Linked DNA regions of Canis lupus familiaris. The main gene of each other region encodes a partner of the protein of the gene in region 6 in a complex. Links are inferred from orthologs where the notes say so. Each region holds a gene or a part of one and is shown on either strand. Other genes may lie near its edges. The genes, in order: ARID1B, ARID1A, ARID2, PBRM1, ACTL6B, SMARCC2 and SMARCD1.

Region 1 (3,500 bases), on a different chromosome or scaffold from region 6:
GTTCTTAGAGTCCATTCTCCCCCTAAGAAGGTAATTATAGTGTATTTCTTATCAACACATCCAAACTAAAAAGATTCCTAAGAAAAGTACTAGATTGCTTTCTAAATGGCCACTCTGAAGCCACCTGAATTCCCAGCTCATTTGGCTACACTAGCGTTGTGTGTCATCCATCTGTATTCCGGTTTCGATCTGGTGTGGCCAGTGTGGACTGAACTTCCTTTCCGCCAGCCTCTGGGAGGTAGAACCCCTCGGCCCGTGATCTTCACCGTAGGGACTGTGTGGTTTCTCAAGCCAGAGCTCCATGTTACTGTCTTCCAGTGACTTGGGCGAGTCCATTGAGGGAAGCTCCCAGATGAAACGTGGGCAAGGCCTGGGGTACAGTTGCATTTCTGAGGTGCCAGTGGGGATCTCGTTATAATAAGCCTGTAAAAGTTCATGGAGTTCTAATGAACAGCTGCAGAAATCACCTCCCCAAGTGGCCTAGGAGGCCTGGAAGCTGGGGTGGGGTGGGGGCGGGGTAAAGGGGGGCCGAGGAAGCTCCACATTCAATTAGTAAGTCTGTAACCAAAAACCCATCCATCTTTGCTGGCAGGTGGCTGACTGCATTTCTATTATTAGCTGACAGGTGATGTCACAAAACCTGTCATGGATCCAACTAGGGAATCCTCAGTGGAAGATAAATGAGAAAGAGGTTCAGGTTATAAACAAAGGTGCCCTCTGGGTGACCTCCAGTCACTGTAGACCTGGGACATATCAGCTCTCCTTCCTTCTCCCTGCCCTCCTTCCCGAAACCCCAGCCAGAACTAGGGCACCAGGTTCGTGCTGTGTAAATTATCTTCCCAGCTAGGAGTCTGGCTGTACAGTCTGAAGTGTGTGAATGTACTTAACCTTCAATAACCTTTCCATTGTTTACTTTCGAGTATACATTTGTAGCTTCTGGCAAAAGGTAGGGAGAGCCTACAGAGTGTGCCAGCCTCGTCTATTAATGGAGCTTCAAGAGGTTGTGTTCATTTTTTTTTTCCTGAAAGGAGAGGAAAAAATACTGGCAGAGGGAAGAATTTTTCCTTTTTTTTTTTTTTTTTTTTATTAGCTGTAAATGTGAATACTTGTAAATAAGGGTCATTCTGAAATCACAGCCTGTGAACCATGTTTCCAGGGAAGCCGCACAGGCTGCTGTGGAGTGTGGTCTGTGATTTAAGGAGCACGTTATTTCTCCTGCCAGCTCTGTGGGGCAGTCACATTTGTAGGTTTATCCTTACATATTTATAGAAGACTCCACTTTTTTTTCTCTTATTACGATCTATTTATTTGATATGTAGGGTTTCACCAAAATCTGATTTATAAGCATGTGTTACTAAGCTTTTCTTTGGCGATATCTACATTAAAAAGATGATCTACTTTTCAAGCTAGTCTTCCCGGCATCTCTGAGAGCTGCCCTGAGTCACTCTAGTCCCGGGCACCCAGCGTACACCTTACACAGGAGGCAGGGCCCTGGTGGCCAGGGCTCAAGATTCACTCCCAAGCAGGCCAGGCCCAGGGCTGACCTGATCTCACTGGAGACCTCTGTGTTCCGCTGAGGCTTTCTGACTGGAAGAGCTGGACTAATTTCCACCTCGGGCTCCTTCCCAGCACGCTCTGTAATCTCCAGTGATTTGTTGAACCCCATTTCCTCTACAGTTAAATGTGGCTACTGGTAATTGTAGTGAGTGTCGGACACTCCTAGGAAAGGGACTCCAGATAATAACATATACAGTATCATCTTTGACAAGCAGCCAGTAATTTCTGCCATTTGTAACAGTTCTGAAAGCATTTATTATAAACTGCATGAGGGCAGGAATTTTTGTCCTTTTTGTCAGTTTGGGACACTGGTGCATCCAGGAATAGAAAAAAAGCAATATAGTAAGCAATGTAGTAAGCATGTTATTTATTCAATAAGTATTTGTTGAATTAATAAATGTAGGTAGTGTCTTTCGGGCACCTCACATGCAAAGGTCAGTGATAAAGCGGGAACCCTTAAAATACTATGTTTTCCAATGAGGTGAGTACTTAAGTTTTTAAAAAGATTTGCTCAATACTGAGCTCTGTTATTATAGTGTAATTATAGTTAAAGCCAAATCTCAGGACTCTGATGATGACATTAAAGAACTCCAAAGAGCATGACTTTGGTTTTGTAATAACAAATCTGATTCCAGAGCTCTAAAAATGACTTTATTAATGACATAGCACAGACATTGAGGAGGCATTGAAGTGATATAAGGCTCATTAAAAATTTGTATCATTGCATTTCAACTTAAACATTTCTCATTGCCTAAGACCTGGTAGTAATTTTTCTAACTTTTTTCCTAAAATAGCACAATAGTCCATCAAATCAGTATACCGAATTTTTCATCCCATTTTTTTTCCTTACTCTCAGACATTTAGATTATCTCCATTATAAACAACACTGAAATAAACATTTTTTTCTGCCTAAAGCCTTCTTTTATATTAGATTATTTTCTTGAGATAAATACCCAGGAAAGCAATTACCCAGTCAAGAGGTATAAATATGTTTTATGGCTCACAAATGAAGTATGTTGCCAAATAGATTACTAAAAACAAAACAAAACAAACAACTTTTACTAATTTTCACTATAAACAATATAAAAGCAACTAATTTTACTGTGTCGTTACCAGTAATGGATATTGTTACTATTTCTAATTCTAATAAGATGGTGTCGTGTTGTCTTTCCTTTTTTTTTTTAAATTAGTAGGAAGGATGAGCTTACTTGATAACTTCTTTTTTTTTTTCTTATTTTCTCTTGGTACTACTACTGTCAGCTAACTCAGGATCCTTGCAAGGTCCACAGACCCCCCAGTCAACTGGCAGTAACTCAATGGCAGAGGTTCCAGGTGACCTGAAGCCACCGACCCCAGCCTCCACCCCTCACGGACAGATGACCCCGATGCAAGGTGGAAGGTATGCAAAAGGATCTCTGTGAGCCACATGACATCAGATTTGTCTGTAAAGAAGAAGTGTGTGTCCTTAATGTTGAATACTACTAGTTTTATTCATGTAATTTTAGGGGATGGTTTTTACATTAAACATTTTCAAGTTAGGCCTATTTTCTGAACAAGCATTTGGAGGCATCTCCTGCTATTTCACGAAGCTTTCATTTTTCTTGTCTCCTTAGAAGCAGTACAGTCAGTGTGCACGACCCATTCTCAGATGCCAGTGATTCATCATTCCCAAAACGGAACTCCATGACTCCAAGCACCCCATACCAGCAGGGCATGAGCATGCCTGATGTGATGGGAAGGATGCCCTATGAACCCAACAAAGACCCCTTTGGTGGAATGAGAAAAGGTAAGTGCAGGGAGACCTTTGCTCAGGCTTGGTCCAGAGGGCATTCTTCCCTCTGCCATCCCACAACCAATTCACTTACCCATTCGAGACATATCTGAGTCCCAGCTCTTCAACCTACTAAATTCCCAGCCTTGGGGAAAGTTCGCAGTAGCTCCAT
Region 2 (4,086 bases), on a different chromosome or scaffold from region 6:
GAACATACCTTAAAATGCAAAGAAAAAATTAGTTGACCTCTATCTCAAAGCTCTAAAGTGACTGATGACAAAACAGAAAACTAGCCTTTTTGATATCCCAGGAACAAATGATAAATTTTACCAAACCAGGCCTTTAGGAGAAAGTCCCTCCCAAGATCATAAAAGATATCGGCTTCTCTTTAAATTGAGCTGCTTTCTCAAAGTTCAATTAACAAAAGAGTTAACAAGATTCAACATGTAAACAAAGAATGAGGCCAGTCTTCCTTAAAACAGAACACTTGAACGTAATATGAAATTCTCTCAGGAAGCTTCCAGTTCAAAAAAAAAAAAAAAAAAAAAGAAAAAGAAAAAAAAAGTTTTCTTCTACCCCCTCCCATAAAGATCCCACATTTGTCACTCAATAAAAATCCCAGTAAAATAATCTCAATTCTGCAACGCGAACAGGGTCAAAATTACTCAAGACAAATGCATCTTCAGAGCCATCAAAGAAGTCATTTATACCACCAGGAAAGTCACAAAACCAAAACAAACAGCAAACCCATTGTAGAGAAAAACTCAGCTACTGTTCTGACAACACAGAATCTATTTCAGGCTGCATAAAACATAACAAGCAAAATAAATCCAAGGTACAAGCAAAATGCCACTGCCTCCTCTTTTGTTTCGGCACAATGTAACAAGGGCAGCCTGTCTGGGGCTCTGCTCCTGCTGATACAGTATTGCTGCTTAAACCTTCCTCCTCAAGGTCACAGCCAATTTCAGCTCTGGAATAAAAGGCAGATAGTGGCAGCGATGGTTTGGGTTATCACTGGCAGAAAAGCAGAGTGTAAAAGTTTATGAGCTCATCAGGATTGTTGTACCATTACATCAGAGGCAATTATAAATGGCCAAGAGCAGGAGATGGGGAGCCAATCAGATCACAGATAGGATGTCAACCTAAGACCAACTGTCTCCTGGCTTTGACAGAAGGATTTTACCTCCATAATTCAAATCCCAAACCAAAGCAATCTGCACTTACTACTCCAATCACTCAGCTGTTTACCAGCACTTCCAGGGAGAAGCCCAGGCCACTGGGCCGACGGAGACTAAGACAGGAGATGGCCCGGGCTGCCCTGGGTGAACCGCAGCCGGCCTTTAGCTGCCCCCAAGCAGGCCCCTGCCCTCCCCCGAGGTACCCCAGAGCCCGAGGGGCCCCTCCTTGAAAGCACAGATGGGGAACGGCCTAGAGGAAGGCAGGAGGGCGGGCAGAGAGGAGCGGCAGGTGAGCAAAGAATTGTTCACTCAACTCCCGAGCTCCTAGCTCTGCACACCCCAACCTGAGCCCCCAACACACCCCTCAACCCCGGGCCAGGCCCTTCCCCGCACATTCTGCCCCGCACCCCCTCGAAGACCCCAGGAGCGCGAAGGGACCAGGGGAGAGGGAGAAGGGGAGCAGACACCTCAGGGAAAGCCCCACACAAAGGCTGAAGGAGGGAAGGAGAGGAAGGCAGACAGGCAGCCATTTTAAGAGAAGAGCCAGACAATGGCAGCTCCCCAGCAGTGGGGGCCCCGGACTGGGGGTAGCCCAAGGCTGTGGCCTGCTCCCCGCAGCCGCCACCCACTCCCAGGACCCCGCTCGCCCCGGCCCCCTCCCCACTCAGCTGTGTACCTGCGGGGTCCGGGCGAGCGGCTGCGCCCCGCCGCCGCTGCTCCCGGGGCTCATGGGCGCGTGGTGGCTCCTTTGTTGGGCCCCTCCCGAGGCGGCTGCTGCCGCCGCCGCCGCCGCCGCCGCAGCCCCCCAGCACTGCGAGGCCATGTCCGCCGGGCCCTTGCCGGCGCCCCCGTCCTGGGGCCCGCCGCCGTAGTCGCCCCCGGGGTAGCCCTGGTAGCCCCGGGCCGAGCTGGGCGACGTGAGCAGTTGGTTGAGGGTGGGGGTGGCGGTGGGCTGGGGGGTTCCCCCGCCGGCCGCTGAGGGGCCGCCTCCCCCCATGGCCCCGAAGCGCTGCTGAGCGAAGGACGAAGACGACGAGGAGGCGGAGGCGCTGGAAGACGGAGGCGGCTTGGAGCCGGCGGCCGCCGCCGCGCCGGAGCCCGGAGTGCCACCTCTCGGGGAGCTCAGCGCGTAGGCCTGGGGGGGCGGGGGGTAGGCGCTGCGGTTGGGGTAGTAGGAGTTGTACTGGTGGTTGGGGAAGCCGTGGTCGTGCGAGTTCTGCTGGGGCCCCGCGTAGGGCTCCAGGCCCCCGCCGCCGCCGCCGCTCTGCAGCGCTGCCAGGCCAGGGCTTTGTTGTCCGCCATGTTGTTGGTGGAAGACGGCGGCCGCCGCGGCGGCGACGGCAGACGGGCTCCGGCCGTAGGGTTGCCCGAAGCCGTAGGCTGGGGGCGGCAAGGCGGCCGCGGCTGAGTGAGGAGGCGCCCCCACCCCATCGCTGCTGCCGCCGCCGCCGCCGCCGGGCGGCTCCGTGAGGTTATTGTTCAGGGCGGGCCTAGGGCCCGCGTTCCCGTTCGAGTTCTTCAGGTCCGGCTCCGCGCCGGGCCCGCCGCCGGCGCCGGCTCCACCGCCGCCGCCACCCCCATTGCTCTCGGCCCCGTCCTGCAGCTCCTTTCCCAGTGGCTGCGGCGGCCCCACGGCGGGGCCCTCGCTCTCCTGCCCGGCGGCTGCCTTCATTTCCCCGCGCTCGGCCGCTGCCGCCGCCGCCGCCTCGCCCCCCGCCTCCTCCCGCTGCTGCTGCTCCGCTTTCTTCAGCTCCGAGGGCGGCGGCGGCGGGTTGCCCAGGCTGCTGGCGGCGGCGGGGGCGACCTGCGCGGCCATGATCCCCGCTGTCTCGTCCGCGGAGAGACCCGGCCCTGTCTTCGTCTTCTCCCCCCCTCCCACCCCGCCCCGGGGCCGAGTCCCCCGGGCTGCCCTCCCCACCCGCCCGGGCGGGCCTCGCGGGGCTCCGCTGCTGCGCGGCGCTCGCTCGCTCGCTCCTCTCCCCCCCGCCCCGCCGGCTCAGGCTCCGGGCTGGCGGCGGCGGAGGAGGAGGAGGCGGCGGCGGCCGAGGCGCCGGCGGCTCAGCTGCTCCCGGCTCTGTAGGCTCGGGACCCGGCTCTCCCGGCTCATTCCCCCCAAGCCCTTGCCTGGGAATGAGGGGGGCGGTGGAGGCTCCGCTCCCCAGGGCCTGGCCCCGCTGTGACTCTCCGCTTTCTGCTGCCGGAGAAAGGAGGAGGGAGGGAGGGAGGGAGGCGAGGGGGAGGGGGCGGGGAGGGAGGGAGGGAGGGAGCGGGGGGAGGGGGACCCGGGACGGGCGGGCTGGAGGGCGCGCGGCAGCAGCCCGGGCGCCGGGAGGCAGAGTCGGAGCGCGGGCCGGGCCGGGCGCCCTGCCTCCCCTCCCCGGCCGCGGCGCGGGCCGAGGCTGCTGCGCGGCAGCGGGCTGGCGGGCGGGCGGGCGGCCGGACTGAGCGGCTAGAGCGCCCCACTCTCCTCCGAGTCCCCCTCACTCCGACACGAGGCTCAGCACTGCCATTTTACCCAGCGCCGTCGCGGCCGCCTGGCAAACCCGGAATGGAGCGCGGAGCGGGCGCAGGCCATGGAACGGACTCGCTCCCTTCCCCTCACAAAGGAGGAGGGGAGAGAACGAGCCGCGGCGGCGGCAGGCCCTCTGCCGCTTTCGCTCGGCAGCGCCGCCGCTGAAGGCTTCGGGGAAAACCCGGCCCGGAGCCCGCGCCTCTCGGAGCCTGCGCCGCCTCCCTTCTGGCGTTCCTATCCGGGTCGGTCCCCTCCAGGCCGCACCGAGGGGAGCGGGCAGCGTGAACTTTACTCGCGGCTGCAAAATTGGCCAGAGCCCGAGACCGCGGCCGCCTCGGCCCAGGCCTGACCCCCTGGCAGCGGGCCTGGTCTCTTGGCTGCTACTTAGCACCTCTACAGCACTTTTCTTCAAAGCCTTTTACAAACCCGGTCTTAAAGACCCAGCTGAGTGAGCGAGCAGGGCCTTACATTTTATCCCCTTTGCAAGCCCAACGGAATGACAGATCATTGTTCAGACTTTCCGTTTTCCCACTCCCCTACCCTCATTAGCCCGGCCTCATAAGGCCCATGGGCCTGGGGGGCCATGAGGTCCGATTATCCCCATT
Region 3 (2,824 bases), on a different chromosome or scaffold from region 6:
GGGGCTGATGTTGGATAAAAAGTCTCTTTTGCATCCATTAATACACAGCACAGTGCAGTGCCATGGATCCCCTCTGCAGGGAGAAATTAGATTTTCCTTCAACACCAGTTGAATCAAACCATTAAAAAATTGTTTTTTATATCCAAATTTTTTAATATCCATCCAAACCAAAAAAAAATTTTTATATCCTTTTACTCTAGGAATCTGTCCCTAAATTCAAGTTGAAGGTCTGGGCGCCTTGTGGTTCTGAATGAACAGAGAAACACAGTATCAAACAATAATCTGGGTTTGCTTTACATTATAACAAATGGAAAGTACGCTCAATCTCCTGCTATCTCATGCAAATTTGTCATGTAAAGGATCTCTTTTATCTGTTCTCTACTTAATGTATTATAAATGACATAAAATTAAATAGGTGACTGGACCTTGTCTTCAGCTAAATTTGGGATTCTCTCTATATTTTTAAAAGAATGTCTTAAGCATACTCAGAAATGAAGGACTCAAGAAAATGTTCAGTCTTTTATTTAAAAACTATAAACAGTCACCAAAGTAAATAAAGCCATTCTATAACATAAACTGTTAGGTCTATATTTTTTACTGCACATCCTAAGGACACAGCAGAAATGGTGGTTGGGAGGCCTTCCACATTTTTGGATGCTAATAGAACAGGCAATAGGCAGTTATAAATGGATACATTTCACGCTGGGGGAAGAAGACAATTTAAGGAAGTGAGCAGTTTCTGAGCAGGAATGTGGTACAGTATTAAGAATGGAAGAATAATACAATAAAATTCCACACTATATTAAGATAGAAAAAGTAGTGAAGAAAATATCATACCTGCACATAATGCATATATAACACAGGAGAAAACCTGTATAAAATTCCATGTATTTAAACCAATTTACAAATACAAAAAATTCTGTCCAAGCTCTGAGCTTGCACATGACAAACGTTTACAGTGGATACATGTTAGGGAAAACCAAAAAATACCTTCAAATAGTTTTTCTTCTACAAAAATGACATGAGATATATTATTCCATACTCTTTCAGCCAGCAAAATGAGTTCTACAAGGTGTATAATACAAAACAAAACAAAAGAAAAAAAGAAAAAAGAAAAAAAAAGAAAAAAAAATCACAGTTCCACAAAACTGTTTTGACTTTACAGCATCAGTACCTTTGCAGAAGTATTTACACAAATTTAAAGAACATTCATCCACTGCGTAGAATATATCACAATTACTTACAATTGACAGGAAAGTCTAGAAAACTTTAGAACCTACCAATAATGCTTCTAGGACACCACAGAATGTATTTCCAGTGGCTGCAGTGGCATGAAAGGTGTTCGTTCTATTCACAAATATTTACAAGATCTATTCAGACTGGTAAATTTTTATGATAATAAATAAGTGAAAATATATTGGCTCAAGTAAGAAAACCAAGCTACTGATTTCTAAACAAAACACACAATCCATAGCTAGATATTGGTGGCCCCCTCTGAGATCAGGGGGTATAGGTGTGCTGAAATTTTTTTTTAATTATTCAAACCAGCTTAAACGGTTTTGTAAATATAAAAATGTGCTCCTTTTTGGATATAGATAAAAATATTTAATGCTTCTATTTCATCTGCTCATGTAGGTTTTACAATATTCCATGTATATTCCAATGTGGATGGTACTGAATTCTGATCATACCAGTTTCCATCAGGATTTATCAGATCTGAGAGACATCCTGCAGATAAGCTGGTTGACAATCCCACAGCAGTTTTTTTTTTTTCTTTTTAGATTTTTTTTAAACAGAGAACAAAGGGATTCGCTCAGAGATCAGAATACGAAGCTTCCTCTCAGCATCATGGGAGGAGATAAAATAATTCATTCTATGGTCTCTGTTCCATTAAGACTTGGTGCTTTCTTCAGTAACAGTATGTGAAATGTATGTGACTTTGAGTCCCCACTAGAGAAGTGGAATTATTTTTCACTGCAGCATTTCTGAGTCTTTTTCTTGTTCTTTACTCTGAACTGTAAAATTAAGTTCATAAAGGCATTTGGCAAGGGTGGAGGAAGCTTCCATGTTACTAATGGCTAGCACTGATAAGTTGTTTTCATGTCTCTTTAACAATCTGAAAAAAAAAACAAAAAACAGAGGTTCGTCAGTATCCAAGGTCAGTGATGATTCCTTATGGATTTTGCAAGTTTAAAAACTAAATATTTTTTATTTCATTGAGTGGATGTGTTCAGCACACTTCGGTGAACGGAATACACTATACACTTACATGGATAAAGGATGTTTCTAAACTTGACAGAACTTCCGTGTATCCATGTAGTGATTTTTCAGTGAACAAATGTGTTTACCATGTACCACATGCTGCTGCTTTTAATACACTTTGAGAAGCTACATGTATAAAGGATGGTTCAAAGAATGCTAGTAGCAATGTGTCAGTTTTCAGACCAAAATGGAATTAAACCAGAAATTAGTAACAGAAAGTTGACTGGAAAATCCCCAAGTCCAAGATGTAAACAATACATGGGTAACTACATGGGTAACACAAAGTTATACATGGGTCAAGAAGAAATCTCAAAAGAACTTAAAAAATATTTTAGATTAAATTAAAATAAAAATACAAATTGTTAAAATCTGTGGAATGCCATGAATGAAAGCAGTGCTTTGAGGGAAATATATAGCATTGACTGAATGCATATTATTATAAAAGAAGATCTAAAATCTATAATTAAAATTTTCACCTTAGGAACCTAATAACAGAAGAGCAAAGTAAATCCAAAGTAAGTAGAAGAAATAATTCAAGCAGAAATCAGTGATATTGGAAAGA
Region 4 (3,500 bases), on a different chromosome or scaffold from region 6:
AACTGCATCCTCCCTGATTCAGTAACACCCACCTGCCCACTCGAGGGCGCACCAGGCCATGGGATTTGATGAAGACACAGTCGCCAACCTTTAGCCACATGTCATTGTAACGGAGTTGCTCAAAGTAGTGGCAACCTGGTTCACCGTTTGACATTTCCACAGGGACATCTTCTTTCTCCTGTGGTAAAGGAAACTGGTTGAAGATAGACAGCTGACGATCAAGGAGGAGACAGAGAAAGTTAAGAAAGAAAAGCTGACTTTCCATATTAACTTAAAAGAAAAAAATAACTATAAGTAGATGTTTTGATGAAGATTGGAAGCCTAAAGATTGGGGTTCTGAAATCAAACTGAGTCTTCTTAAATACTGCATTTATTTTAAATTTCTACTTATGTTTCAATTAGCAAATAATCGTGCCTCAGATAAATCTCATTGGCTACGATACTGCCACTGTACAACGCTTCTGCTTAAGTTTCATAAAATGTTACTCCAAGGTCCTTTTATCCCTTTGCCCAATCCCCCCCATTCCCATAGCCTTCAGCAAAAAAAGTACCACACAGAATGGATCAGCATTCAAGAGCAGTCTCACTCATACACTGCTATGGAGCATAAAGAGCAAATTCTGCACGAGCTTCCTCTTCACTACATTTATTGAGCTCTCAATTTTTAAAAAAAAAGATTTTATTTATTTATTCATGAAAGACAAAGGGGGGGGGGAGAGAGAGAGAGGCAGAGACACAGATGGAGGGAGAAGCAGGCTCCCTGCAAGGAGCCCATTGTGGGACTTGATCCCAGATCCCCGGATCAGGCCCTGGGCCAAAGGCACACACTCAACTGCTGAGCCACCCAGGTGTCCCAAACTCTCAATTTTTTTCCCCCCAAACTCTCAATTTTTTAACATTAACAACTAATGGTTTTAAATTATCATTAATAAAAATAAAGTTATCATTTTTATTTATTCTGGGATGGAAAAGTATAGCCTCTGTGATATAAACACATACACTCTGTTTCTAAATAAATAACAAGCTCTGTCACCTACTGGCTGCTGTGATGCTGGGCTAATTACTTGACCTGTTAGGTCACCTATAAAACAAAGGCAGCGTACCCATCATATGGGGCTGTTAGGAAGATTCAATGACATACTCCACATCAAGTATGCAGAACAATGTCTGACTTAGGAAAAGCCTTGAATGCACATTCATTATTGTGGTTTTATAGTTTTGGCAAAAAATAGAAAATGAAAAGGGTAGCCTGGATAGCTCAGTGAAGCGTCTGACTTCAGCTCAGGCCATGATCTCAGGATCCTGGGATGGAGCCTTGCATTGCCCTCTGTGCTCAGCGGGGAGTCTGCTTCTCCTTCCTCTCTGCCACTCCCCTGGCTCATGCTCTGTCTCTCTCTGTCTCTCTCTCTCTCTCTCTCTCAAACAAATAAATAAAATCTTAAAACAAGAAAAAGAAAAAAGGACAGTTCTGATCTGATGCAGAGAATAGGCAAAGCATGAGGTGTTTTAAACATACTAATTCCAAAACATATAAAAGCTGAGGAAACTCCAGAACCCCAACATTTTCTACTGCATCTCCTTGAGAGTATCTGAACTTCAAACTGAAAAAAAGAAAAATATCCTTCAGAAGGTCCAAACAATTTGTTTTGATCTTTATGACTTCAGATGTGATATATAAATGGTTCTTCTGGAAAATCCTGAAGAATGCATGAGGTCACACATATAATGGGTGAGGGGAAATCTATAGGAATGGGAGCTATAAAGTAGCCCCAAAATTAAGAATAACTTTCTCTTTTGGAAATGGGTTGGTTGTGTTCTGAAGGTTTTTTTTTTTTTTTTAAAGTAACCTCTCTGCCCAAAATGTGGCTGGAACTCACAACCCCAAGAATGAGAGCTGCATGCTCTACCTGCTGAAGGTATTCTTTTAAAAAGTTCCAGGAATGACTTGTTTCGGTCAGGCAGTATTAAAATAAAGACAGGAGACAAAAGGAAAAAAATTGCATGCACATAGAGGACCTTGGAGTCTTATGAATTCTAATAAGAAATGTGGGTTAATTCCCATGTTGGCTTCCATTGGTATTTCTTATTCTTTCAAAATTAACATCTCTATAACTCCCAAACATACTAGTAAAGTGTAAAGAAGATCACGTTTTCCTCAGCTCCCTTTCTCTTGTAACACTGTTAGGACAGTAAAATGGATTTCTTTTCTAAGACACTAAGAAGTCTATTTTTTCCAAGTTTTGTTTTGTTTTTTAAGATTTTATTTATTTGAGAGAGAGCACAAGCAAGAGAATACAAGCGGGGGAGTAGCAAAGGGAGAGGGAGAAGCAGGCTCCCCGCTGAGCAGGGAGCCCAATGTGGAGCTTGATCCCAAGACCCCAAGATCATGACCTGAGCCAAAGGCAGAGGCTTAACCAACTGAGCCACCCAGGTGCCCTCATTTTGTCAAATTCTGAAAACAATTTATCCAAATCTTTTACATCCTTGAGTGGCCGGTTTCTCGTCCCATAGGTTCCAAGTATTCCTTTTAAGGTTATTTCTCAATGTATTTTGTTGTTAAGGTGAATCAGGTATTTTCTTCTATATGATTATCCTAACAGTTGATAAAATATATTCAACATGATAGTCAACGTTTTCATTTTACTTTCAAGAGTCCTGTGAATTATAGTTTGGTTTATATAAAAAAGCTACTGGGTGTCTGGGTGGCTGAGGTGATTGAGCGTCTGCCTTCGGCTCTGGTCATGATCCGAGGGCCCTGGAACTGAGCCCCACATTGGGCTCCCTGCTTAGTGGGGAGCCTGCTTCTCCCTCTCCTAACTGCTTGTACTCTCTTTTGCTGTCTCTCTCTGTTTCAAATAAATCAATAAATAAATCTTACAAAAAAAAAGTTATTGACTCGTATATGGATTTTGAAATTCCTTTGTTGAATCCTGTTTTTCAAAACTTTAGTTAAGTGCTCCCCTATGATCTTTATGATTGCCACTTTATTGTCAATATTTTGCTATTTTGGTCTGCATTGGCTACTTTTGGAAAAATATAGGTAACCGTAGAGCAAGCAGGCTTTAGGCATAAGAAACAAATATAACTTAAAAAAAATCACTTTGAGGAAATACCATCTAAAGACTTAAATACAGTTGCTGTACTTTATCAAATAATCTCTCCTTTGATCTATTAATATAATGATGTATATTACTGAATTTTCCTCATTCTGACCAATCCTTGCATTTCTAGAATGAACTCTTACCTACTTGGTCATATTATTCTTAAATAACTAATTTGATTTCACTTATAAATAAAAAACCATTTTCTCCAAGTATTTTTTGCATCAAAATTCGTAAGTTAGATTGAACTGTACCTTTTCTGTTTTATTTTGTCAGGCTTTGGAATTAGGATCATCCTAGTTTTGTTGTAAAATAAACTGGGAAGTTTTCTTTGTTCTCCATGCTTTGAAATAATTTAAACAGTATTATAATTATAGGTCTCTTAAAAGGGTTAAAAGA
Region 5 (2,257 bases), on a different chromosome or scaffold from region 6:
GAGGGTACCTCTGGTCCCCTGTGAGCACCCCCAGGCAGAGTCTCTTTTTCCTGGGCAGGGTGGCTGCGCAGATGCCCACGGTACACTATGAGATGCCCAATGGCTACAACACAGACTATGGTGCTGAACGGCTCCGCATTCCCGAGGGCCTGTTCGATCCCTCCAATGTCAAGGTTGGGTGGGTGGAGGGTATTGAGGTGGGGACTGGTTGGATTCCCTGGATGCCAACGTTGGGTGTGAGGGAGGCTGGGAAGGATCACTGGGGTCTGGGGAGAGAGGGCAGAGGCCCAAAACCCAGATCACCTTTCTTGGCAGGGCCTGTCGGGGAACACCATGTTGGGTGTGGGCCACGTGGTGACCACCAGCATAGGCATGTGTGACATCGACATTCGCCCGGTGAGGCCCAAGCCTGTGTCTGGGCCCAGGGGCCCAAAAGTAGTGGGGAGACAGGGAGGGGCTGTGCCCTGAAGGCACACTCCTCTCTGCACTCAGGGCTTGTATGGCAGTGTCATTGTCACCGGTGGAAATACCCTGCTCCAGGGCTTCACTGACAGGCTCAATCGGGAGCTTTCCCAGAAGACCCCACCGGTAGGAGCCCTCCCCCAACAGGGTCCTGGATTCCTGTCCTGGCTTAGCTCTCCAGGACCCAGTCCTTCCTCCTTCCTCAACAGCAAGTGTTCTGGCCACCAGAGCAGACCCCTCCCCCTGCGGCTTCCCAGTCTTCCCCACTTCTAGCCCTCTCCCTTCCCAGAACCCAGGTGTCTGCTTCCCCCAGCCCCTCTTTCCCCCCAGAGCATGCGGCTGAAGCTCATCGCCAGCAACAGCACCATGGAGCGCAAGTTCAGCCCCTGGATTGGGGGCTCCATCTTGGCCTCACTGGTGAGAGGAAGGGGCCTGGCCTCGCACTGACTGTGGGAACCAGGCAGACCCAGACATCCCATCCCCTTGTCCGCCTCCTTATTCATTCATTCAACAAACTTTTATTTTTGAGAAAGAGTAGGCTCCCAGAAGGGTGAATGCTCCATCAGGACAAATCAGGGAGCAGAAGGACAGGAAGCTGGAGAGATTAGTGGAAGTTGAGGCTATGGACGAGGCACCCACTATACTTAGCAGAAGAGAGACACTGGAAGTTTGGGGCAAAGAAGCAATGTGACAGTCACAGGCATGTTTGGGAAGACTATGTCCAGAATGAGTCTTTGGAGATCAGAGTATGAGCCAGACACAAGGGCACCTTGGGAAGAGGCTCTTTCCATTGTCCTAGAGTCACAGAGTGAAAGCAGTGAGGATGGGGTGGTGGGCAGGAGGCAGATAGAGGAGACAGGCAGGCTGGTTCTGGAGCAATAGGTGGTGAGTCCTCTCTGGACCTGCTGTGGGACACAGGCAAGATGCTGAGCAGGGAGCTGGAGATGCAAACTATATCTCATGGGTGTCAGCCACACAGACAGGACAATGGGACCATGACAGAGCAAGAAGGTCATCTCCTAGAGGGGCAGCCCCCAAGGAGACAGAAACAGGGGTCAGAAATACAGGAGGCTGACAGTGTGAATTCATCCATCCAGTTATTGTGGCCCCCCACCCTGGGTGCCTGACATGGTCCCTGCTTCAGGAGGCAGCACAGACCAGCTGCTGAGCCCATTAAGCAGGAAGTCACCTCAAAATGTGCAAGTGTTCCTTGAAGGGAGGGCCTGATCTAGTTTCAGGGGCTCTAAGGAGCATTCAAGCTGAAGATGGAAGACTGAGTAAGAACCCTTGAGGCAAAGAAGGAGAGAGGATGCTTGGGCCATGGGGAGAGGCAGGGAGACCAAAGGCAATGGGCAGATGCTGTCAGACCCAAGTTTAAGAAGCTCAATGGGGCCACAGAGTGGAGAGTGGCTTGAACAGTGGCCTCCACTGTGACTGGAGTTTGACAGGGGAGTGGGTATCAGGCTGTAGAACTGGGAGCTCATGACACAATGTGGGCAGCATCTGGATGTGAAAAGTTAGAAGGAGTCTAGGATGATGCCCAGGATGCTAGCTCCTGGCAGCTGTGTCCAACAGGAATTTAATATGAGGAGCCACATATATAACTTGAAATTTTCTAGTAGGCATATTTTATAAGAGCCCCAAGAATCTGGTGAAAGTTAAGCTTAAAAAATATATCTTATTTGGGTTGCCTGGCTGGCTCAGTCAGTAAAGCATATGACTCTTTTTTTTTTTTTTTTTTTTTAAGATTTTATTTATTTGAGAGAGATAGCCAGGGAGAGAGCAGGAGCAGGGG
Region 6 (4,252 bases):
CTTGAACTACTCAAGTAAATGTGAATTACTCTTGAGCTCCCTGATCCTTCTTGGAGAAGATGATGCTGTGCAAGAAATGAAACACCAAAAGAACATCCCCAACAAGTATCATTCCCCTCTAACCTCTAACCGGGGGAGAACAGGAGGGTTAGAGGTTAAAGAGGGAATTAATTCCCTAGCTTGGTTAATACACGGAGAATTTAGAACAGTGCTTGGCACATAAGGAGCATTCGGTAAAAACACACATTCGGGGTGTTCTCTGCCGCGCTCCAGCTCCAGCTCGGGCTGCAGTGTTGACGTTCCAACAGGCTGTCCTCCTAGCCCTGGAAACACCGAGAGGCGCCTCCTCACATCAAATGAGACCATGCCTTTTCTTGGGGCTCAATTACAACCAGACTTCCGGTCATGAAATCCAGAGGTGCCCTCTTTTCCTGGAAACTCTAGTTTTGAGTATCCTAGCACAACAGGCATCCACATTTCCAAAAACCTAACCCTTCTTCAAATCCTTTGCCATTCGTTTCCCCAAGAATGAAAACGTGCGCCAAAGCTCTCAGACCCGAAGCCCCAGGACGCGGCAAGTGCCTTGCGTCCGGGCAGACCGGCGGCTGTGCGAGGGCAGGCTTCCCTCGCTCACCTGCATCCCGCCCGGTCGTGGGGAGACCTCGGGCCGAAGGGGAGTGCGCGAGGGGCACGGGCGCGGGGCCCCTCGACGCCTCCTGAGCGAGAAAAAAAGCGGCCGTCACGAACAGGATTCGAACCTGTGCGGGGGAAACCCCATTGGATTTCGAGTCCAACGCCTTAACCACTCGGCCACCGTGACTCCCCAGACCGCGCTCCGCCGCGCGCTTACAGGAGGGGCCGCGCCCCCGGGCCCCCCGCCTCCACGGCGCTCCGAGGACAGCCGGGCGGCCCCCGGAGGGCCCGGCGGACGGGGGTGGCCCTCCCCGGGAGGACGGGTCTCCCAGGCGCCGGCGAGGCCTGCGGGGGGCCAGCTGGGGGCAGCGGCCGGCCGGGGCGGCGGGGGGCGGCCGAGGGCTCCTCGGGTCACCGCGGCAGGGGGCTGGCCGGGCGTGGGGGGCTCGGGCGATGGGAGCAAGGCGCTTCCTGGGCAGGGGGCCGGGGTGCCCGGGCCGTGCGGGCTCGGGGACTGGGAGCGCGGGGCAGGGCCGGCCTGGCTCCCCGGAGGGCAGGGCCGGGGGGCCCTCCGGCGTCCGCTTGGGGCGGGTGGGCGGCCCCCCGCGCCCTGGGCTGAGAGGCCGCGGGAGGAGAGGCTTCGCGCCGGGGAGGCCGCGGGGGAGGCCGCCGGGGAGGCCGCCGGGTGCGCCCCGCGTCGGGAGCCGCGCCGCCGCCGTGGCCGAGCGGCCGGCAGGGGGCGCTGCGCGGGCCGGGCCGGCCCAGGCGGCGGCAGGCGGCGGCCGCGGCGGCGGGAGGCGGCGGGAGGCGGGCGGAGGAGGAGGCGGAGGAGGCGGGAGCTGAGCGGCGCGGGGCGGGCGGCGGCGGGCCCGAGCCCGAGAAGATGGCGGTGCGGAAGAAGGACGGCGGCCCCAACGTGAAGTACTACGAGGCCGCGGACACCGTGACCCAGTTCGACAACGTGAGGCTCTGGCTCGGCAAGAACTACAAGAAGGTACGCGGGCAGGGCCGCGCGGCCGGGGGCGGGACAAAGGCCGCGGCCGCCCGCGCCCCCCGCGGCCCCCGCGGCCCCCGCGGCCCCGTTTCTCGCCGCCGCGCGGCGAGTCCCGGCGCCGACCGCCCCCGCCCGGGGCCACAGCCCTGCGGGCCCTTCCGGGAGAGGCGGCGGGGGGCGGACGCGGCGCCGGATGCCCCCGGCCCAGCCCGCCCGCCGGAGCTGCCCCGAGCCGGGCCGGCGGCGCTGAGGCCTCCGCGGGCTTTGTGTCCGCCCGGGAGGCGGTGGGAGCGGGCGGGTAAACAGGCGCCGGGCAGGCCGGGCCCGCGGGCGGCAGCGCCCCCCCACCTGTCCCCGCCGCCCGCCCCACGGGAGCCGGGAGCTCGCAGCCCCGGGCACAGCCTCCTGCCACCTCACAATGGAGCCCCCGGCCGCTGGCCTCGCACCGCTCGGGTCCGGGGCGCCGGGCCCAGGACGCTGCTGCCTCAGCCCCCGTCCGCGCCTGCAGGTGACAAGCGGCTGAACAAAGGGCTCAGAAAGCCTTACCTGACTTTCCGTCGAACCTCCCCCGGCGCTGTCTTTGTCTCGGGGCCCGGCCGAGAGGGCCGTCCGCCCCGGCTGCGCCCGCGGACAGCTCGGCCTCCGCCCCGCGCCGCCCGGTGGGAGGCTCGCCGTCGGCCCGGCTCTTCCTGCCCAGCTCCGCAGCCTGTCAGGAGCTGCCGGGCGCTTAGGAGTCCGCCCCCCGGCCCGGCCGCGGCCCTTCCCCCGCGGCTCCTGACAACCAGCTGCCGGGCCGGGGGCGCCTGCACCCCAGCGCGAGGCCTCGGCTCCCAGGCCTCCACCTTTGACCTTCCGGAAGGTCCGGAAGGGAGATGAGCGGGGGCTTAGTCTCTGGCCGGGGGGCGGGGGGGGGGATGGGGGGGCTGACGGCCCTTTGTCGCTTACCCTCTGGTGCGAGGCGCTCTCTACATCTCCCACTGAGAGGAGCGCTGGTCTCTGTGACTAGGGTTGAGGAAGCAGGGGTCAAAAGGTAAAGAGAAAGTTAGCCTCCTGGCTCAGATTTAAATTAGAACAGGAGGCTAGGATACTAGGTAGCGGCACATGGAAATGCGTGAGAAGGCCCGGGGTTGCTTGTCTCAGATACTGTTTCCTCAGAAAGCATCAATGTTTTCTTGCTCTTCCTCACCAGGCTGGGTAGGAGCTGGTCCTTGCCCCCTCGAAGGCGTTTGTGCCCAGTTCCTAGCAGAAGCAGAAGGCCCGGCTGGCACTCTCCGTCTGTTTGGCGTGCCTCACTTCCTTGCACCTTTCTTGTTAGGCTATGTTGCAGGGGGAGTCTCGGCCTCCACAAAGTTACCCCCAAGAAATACACTGTGGTCTGGCTTAGAGCCTCAAAGATACTGCTTCCTTTGCCTGCATTTACTGAACCTTCAGGATCTTACCGCCCTCAGTGCTGTTGACTAGAAATCAGGATCCTACAACTAACAACCAGTTTCAGAACGTAGCTGACAAGTAGGAAGCCCCACTTGCCTCCAGCACCGGCTGCTGGCAGGCTGGGTTGGGGGCAGCAGAATTTCAGCTTCCGGTGAGGGGCTTAGATGCCTTCCCTTCTGCCATTTTCTTTATAGAAACTAGACATGTGGGGGAAGGAGACACTATTTTTTCCACCCCAGATGCTTCCAGGGCCCCTTGGGAAAAAATAAGGGAGATAGTGGACAGTTTGTCTGAGGTCTACTTCTCTTCCGTTTGCCTCTGTTTCCCCAGTATATACAAGCTGAACCACCTACCAACAAGTCCTTGTCTAGCCTGGTTGTACAGTTGCTACAGTTTCAGGAAGAAGTTTTTGGCAAACATGTCAGCAATGCGCCGCTCACTAAACTGCCGGTGAGTGCAAATGCAAGGGGATGAATCCTCCAAACTGGAGAGGGAACTGTGGGGTTTTTGTAAATCTCATACTTTTGGAGATGTGGGTAATTGCCTGTTATCCCCATTCCTGGTCAGGGCGTTACTGGCTTGCCTTGGTCCCCAATTTACTCCTCCCTTTGTCTTAGTAATACTTGGTGCAGCGAGGTGCACCTGACTGGCTGAGTCGCTGCAGTGTGCTACTCTTGATCTGGGGGTTGTGAATTTGGTGTTGCGTGTAGAGACTTCTTAAAATCTCTATTCTTCTTAAAAAAGAAAAAAAAACTTTATTCAACAGGTTATATGTCTGAGCTCGTACATGAAACTCTTGTGGCATGGTTGAAAGGGTACAAGATTGGGATTTGCATTGGCTTGTGTTCAAATCCTGGCTCTGCCACTTGGTATCTCTGTGATCTTGGGCAAGCCATTTAAACCTTTTAAGTGTCTGTTTTTCATCTCTAGATGGGAATAATATCTCTACCTTGTAGGGTTTCTGTAATGGTCAATGAGGTGACCCAGTAAGTACGTGGCACAAGATGGGGCTTTGTGAATACTGGTTTTTTTCTTTCCCCCTTCTTCCAGGCCACGTGATACTGTGGCATAAGGGTTAAAGAATTCCACCTTTGGGGGCACCTGGGTGGTTCAGTCGGTTGGGCCTCCCAACTCAATTTTGGCTGAGATCTCGAACTCAGGGCTATGGGATCAAGCCCTGCATGGGGCTCCGTG
Region 7 (3,500 bases), on a different chromosome or scaffold from region 6:
TTAAATAAATAAATAAATGCATTAATCCTATGAGCCTAGTTTCTCCAAACAGAACGCAAGCTGCTTTGAAAGCAGAGATCCAGTTTTCCACTCTGCATCCCCTCCGATACGGTACACCAGTGACACCTCATAGTACGTACTAGATGAACACTCGATGGTTCCACCTCCATTTCCCTACTTGGTTGTAAAACGGACCCGAGAACATGCTAAAGAAAATCTGGTCCTTCACCTCCCCTCTGGCTCTTCTACCAGATGCTACAAAAATAAAGCAGATGTGTGCCTCACTGATCTAAGTCCCTTCGCACCTTTCCCGGGTTCTTTACCTTGAGGTCCCGGCACTGGGACTGAAGCCAATCATTGATGAAACCCTGAGGGTCTCGGGCAAAGCTCAGCATGAACTCCCGCTGGGTCTTCAGCTGATTGATAGTTTCTATTGTCTCATGGATCTGAAAGGAAAAGAAGGAAGCTTAATAACATTTCAAACTGGGAAATGCGACCTTAAATGGCAGACGGGGGGCAGCCCGAGTGGCTCAGCGGTTTAGCGCCACCTTCAGCTCAGGGCGTGATCCTGGAGTCCCGGGATGGAGTCCCACATCGGGCTCCCTGCACAGAGCCTGCTTCTCCCTCTGCCTATGTCTCTGCCTCTCTCTCTCTGTGTCTCTCATGAATAAATTAAATCTTTAAAAATAAAAATAAAATAAAAATAAAATAAATGGCAGATGGTGTCTGCATTTCCATGTGCCAGCCACTCCCAACCTAGGCCCAGAGTGCTGCCCAGAGCCTCAACTGCTCCAGCACACGGCATTCTTTCAGCAGCTGTGTGCACTGTGTCACACGCCCCATGGGAGGGAAGTTTTCCTTCTGATCCCTACAATGTCCACTACAGGTGAAGCCACATGGTGAATACTTAATCCACAGCACAAATAAGCGCAAAAACATTCTGAGGTAGGAGCGGTGGTACAGGCAGCTGTCTCAAAAGCCATGGCCCAGGGGGGTTTGTCCCTGCCCTTCTCTCATCATCCATACTCTTCCTGGCAACTTCCTTCACTGGCACATCTTCCATTACCACTGATGGGTTCACGAGTCCTCAGTCTGCAGATCAGAGTCCACTTTCTAAACTCCAACCACTCTAGCTGCTTGATAATTCAAGACACATGAAACTCTGAAACAAAATTCACTACCTTTCCCCCAATATTCACTTCTGTTCTCCGGTTGCCAATCTGAATGAACACTACTATGCATCCAAGCGAAAACCGTGGGAGTCATAATGCCTTCTCCTCCCTCAAGCCACACTCCACTGACCCCATATGAAGAGTATCCAAATCTCTGCAGGTCCAAATCTTGACACCTCTGAGATCTGTCCACTTCTTTTCATCCTTATTGTCAGTACCCCAAGTTCAGGCCCTCCAAACCATGTCACAGGCGTTACTGCACTGACTCCTCAGTGGCCTTCCTGTCTCCAGATCTGCCTCTCTTACAACTTGCTCTCTGCCTTCCTGCCAGTGGTCATTCTAAATGCAAAGAGCATCGCTACCTCCAGTCTTTGGGACAAAGTATAAATAAACCAGTTTCCCTTCTAAAGCTTCTTTAGAATTAGACTCCTGCTTCCCTATCCAATTTCCTTCCCCCAAACTTCCCATTCCTAGCACCCTAAGATATATCTAGCACACTAGACAGCTTGTATTTCTTGAACATGCCAGGCTCACTCTCATTTTGGGACCTTTACCTACCCTGTTCCCTCTTTCTGAATGTCCTCTGCCTCCCACACCCCTAGGCACTATCCTTTCTCCCCTTTCATTAACTCTCACTTTGTCCTTCAAGATTTAGTTGGGGTATCAACTGATCCAGGAAAGCGTCCCTGTGCTCCTTTGTGTTCCTCAGAATGGTTTCTAGCTTTACCTTCATGGACAATGTCTATCGAGGAAAATAACAGTAGCAGCAGCAGTTACCATTTGTTTTCACTTGCCAAACACTGTGTCGTCTTTATGTACATTGTCTCATTTAATCCTCATGACAATCTTATTAAAAAAATGATACTGTCGGGCAGCCTGGGTGGCTCAGCGGTTTAGCGCCGCCTTCAGCCCAGGGCCTGATCCTAGAGACCCGGGATCAAGTCCCACGTCAGGCTCCCTGCATGGAGCCTGCTTCTCCCTCTGCCTGTGCCTCTCTCTCTCCTTTTCTGTGTCTCTCATGAATAAATAAAATCTTTAAAAAAAAAATGATAGTGTCTATTTCATAGTTCAGAAACAGGCTCAAAGCTATTAAAAGCTATAGCAGAATCATAACAGCCAGCTCCAACTGGCACCAAGCACAGTGCCTGGCATAGATTAGGTGTTAATACATTCTGAATGAGTGCTAAGAATCAAAAGATAGCCTAGAAGCTGTGGCAGAGGGCTGGTGGCACCCAAGGTACCCAGGACTGGGGCCCCCTACCTTGTTGTCTAGAGTAGCAATCTCCTGCTGGCTGGCGGTAGATAGCAGGAAAGAATTCATCTGAGTCTTCAAAGTATCATCCACTTCCACATCGATGTCATAACAAGCAGTCTTTTTCTGATCATTTGGGTCAACACTGGGGAGGAAACCAAAGGGGACTAGTAAAGGGCTTGTCCCTTAAGACCAATTTACACAAGATCCAGAAGAAGGCCTGAGAATGAGGGTAAGAGGTTGAGAGCAAAAACACATAAGAGAACTTTTGCACATAACTGAAATTTCCCATACCTTCCTTGTGATGGTAGCTACATGGTGTCATGTTTGACAGTCTCAAACTATACTTCAAGAGTGTATGACCTATTGTATATAAACCCCAATAAAGCTGTTGTTTTTTTAAAAAAAAAAATCAATGGTAAAAATTCAAATGGTACAAAAGATATTCAGTGAAAAGGAAGTTTCTCCCACCCCAAAAGAAACTACTACTGTAGTATCTTATATATCTTTCTCCCTATTAAACAAAATTGACCCTGAAAATAAATTCAAATAAAACACACACTACACAAAAGGCTTAACTTTAGCACAAGAATACAAGAGAGATCAGCTTCTAATGATCCAACATATAAATTGTAGGAGTTACTATTGGCTGAGTGACAGTTCAGGATATAAAGAAAGGAAAGCCTTTATCAGAATTAACATGGAGTAAGGGAAAGGCTGCAAAGAGACTACAGCCAAACCACCTGCTGCTCTGAGGAGGAGGAAAGGCATTCCCTCACCCCATATCTAGTGGGATGGAGTGTCCCAACTAAATCTTGAAGGACATCTTCTGAACAAAAAAGTGGGAAAGGATAATGGAATTGTTGAGCCTCAGGTTAGAATGTTTTACCAACCACAGAGGAGATGGTAGCCCATCCACAATGAGTTGGTAAATGTCTAGCAACCGATTCTCCAAAAGGGGAGGGAAAAAAAGCCAATTTGCAGCATTTGTGGATTTCTGTGGTTTAGATATTCCCAACCTGGTTGATTACAAGCTGCCAAAGTTGTTTTACTGATCAAGGAGCTGGGATGAAATG

Evidence for each region.
Region 1: SMARCC2 (region 6) and ARID1B share a complex: the UniProt entries of both Homo sapiens proteins name them as parts of the neuron-specific chromatin remodeling complex. The link is inferred for Canis lupus familiaris from reciprocal best matches to the Homo sapiens genes SMARCC2 and ARID1B.
Region 2: SMARCC2 (region 6) and ARID1A share a complex: the UniProt entries of both Homo sapiens proteins name them as parts of the neuron-specific chromatin remodeling complex. The link is inferred for Canis lupus familiaris from reciprocal best matches to the Homo sapiens genes SMARCC2 and ARID1A.
Region 3: SMARCC2 (region 6) and ARID2 share a complex: the UniProt entries of both Homo sapiens proteins name them as parts of the SWI/SNF-B (PBAF) chromatin remodeling complex. The link is inferred for Canis lupus familiaris from reciprocal best matches to the Homo sapiens genes SMARCC2 and ARID2.
Region 4: SMARCC2 (region 6) and PBRM1 share a complex: the UniProt entries of both Homo sapiens proteins name them as parts of the SWI/SNF-B (PBAF) chromatin remodeling complex. The link is inferred for Canis lupus familiaris from reciprocal best matches to the Homo sapiens genes SMARCC2 and PBRM1.
Region 5: SMARCC2 (region 6) and ACTL6B share a complex: the UniProt entries of both Homo sapiens proteins name them as parts of the BAF complex. The link is inferred for Canis lupus familiaris from reciprocal best matches to the Homo sapiens genes SMARCC2 and ACTL6B.
Region 7: SMARCC2 (region 6) and SMARCD1 share a complex: the UniProt entries of both Homo sapiens proteins name them as parts of the BAF complex. The link is inferred for Canis lupus familiaris from reciprocal best matches to the Homo sapiens genes SMARCC2 and SMARCD1.

The regions. Positions count from the first base shown.
Region 1 is NC_049222.1:47,265,147-47,268,646, forward strand, and holds part of ARID1B (AT-rich interactive domain-containing protein 1B), read left to right. Parts: intron 1-2,817; coding exon 2,818-2,956; intron 2,957-3,170; coding exon 3,171-3,343; intron 3,344-3,500. UniProt on the Homo sapiens protein: Involved in transcriptional activation and repression of select genes by chromatin remodeling (alteration of DNA-nucleosome topology).
Region 2 is NC_049223.1:72,795,366-72,799,451, forward strand, and holds the start of ARID1A (AT-rich interactive domain-containing protein 1A), read right to left. Parts: upstream 2,801-4,086; 5' UTR 2,786-2,800; coding exon 1,646-2,785; intron 1-1,645. UniProt on the Homo sapiens protein: Involved in transcriptional activation and repression of select genes by chromatin remodeling (alteration of DNA-nucleosome topology).
Region 3 is NC_049248.1:38,138,762-38,141,585, reverse strand, and holds the end of ARID2 (AT-rich interactive domain-containing protein 2), read right to left. Parts: intron 2,117-2,824; coding exon 1,972-2,116; 3' UTR 501-1,971; downstream 1-500. UniProt on the Homo sapiens protein: Involved in transcriptional activation and repression of select genes by chromatin remodeling (alteration of DNA-nucleosome topology). Required for the stability of the SWI/SNF chromatin remodeling complex SWI/SNF-B (PBAF).
Region 4 is NC_049241.1:37,594,514-37,598,013, reverse strand, and holds part of PBRM1 (protein polybromo-1), read right to left. Parts: intron 461-3,500; exon of another isoform or gene 321-460; intron 179-320; coding exon 33-178; intron 1-32. UniProt on the Homo sapiens protein: Involved in transcriptional activation and repression of select genes by chromatin remodeling (alteration of DNA-nucleosome topology). Required for the stability of the SWI/SNF chromatin remodeling complex SWI/SNF-B (PBAF).
Region 5 is NC_049227.1:9,001,725-9,003,981, forward strand, and holds part of ACTL6B (actin-like protein 6B), read left to right. Parts: intron 1-58; coding exon 59-173; intron 174-315; coding exon 316-396; intron 397-492; coding exon 493-588; intron 589-775; exon of another isoform or gene 776-792; coding exon 793-879; intron 880-2,257. UniProt on the Homo sapiens protein: Involved in transcriptional activation and repression of select genes by chromatin remodeling (alteration of DNA-nucleosome topology).
Region 6 is NC_049231.1:853,929-858,180, reverse strand, and holds the start of SMARCC2 (SWI/SNF complex subunit SMARCC2), read left to right. Parts: upstream 1-1,452; 5' UTR 1,453-1,516; coding exon 1,517-1,627; intron 1,628-2,017; exon of another isoform or gene 2,018-2,045; coding exon of another isoform or gene 2,046-2,135; intron 2,136-2,373; exon of another isoform or gene 2,374-2,486; intron 2,487-3,388; coding exon 3,389-3,508; intron 3,509-4,252. UniProt on the Homo sapiens protein: Involved in transcriptional activation and repression of select genes by chromatin remodeling (alteration of DNA-nucleosome topology).
Region 7 is NC_049248.1:42,021,776-42,025,275, reverse strand, and holds part of SMARCD1 (SWI/SNF-related matrix-associated actin-dependent regulator of chromatin subfamily D member 1), read right to left. Parts: intron 2,570-3,500; coding exon 2,434-2,569; intron 447-2,433; coding exon 324-446; intron 1-323. UniProt on the Homo sapiens protein: Involved in transcriptional activation and repression of select genes by chromatin remodeling (alteration of DNA-nucleosome topology).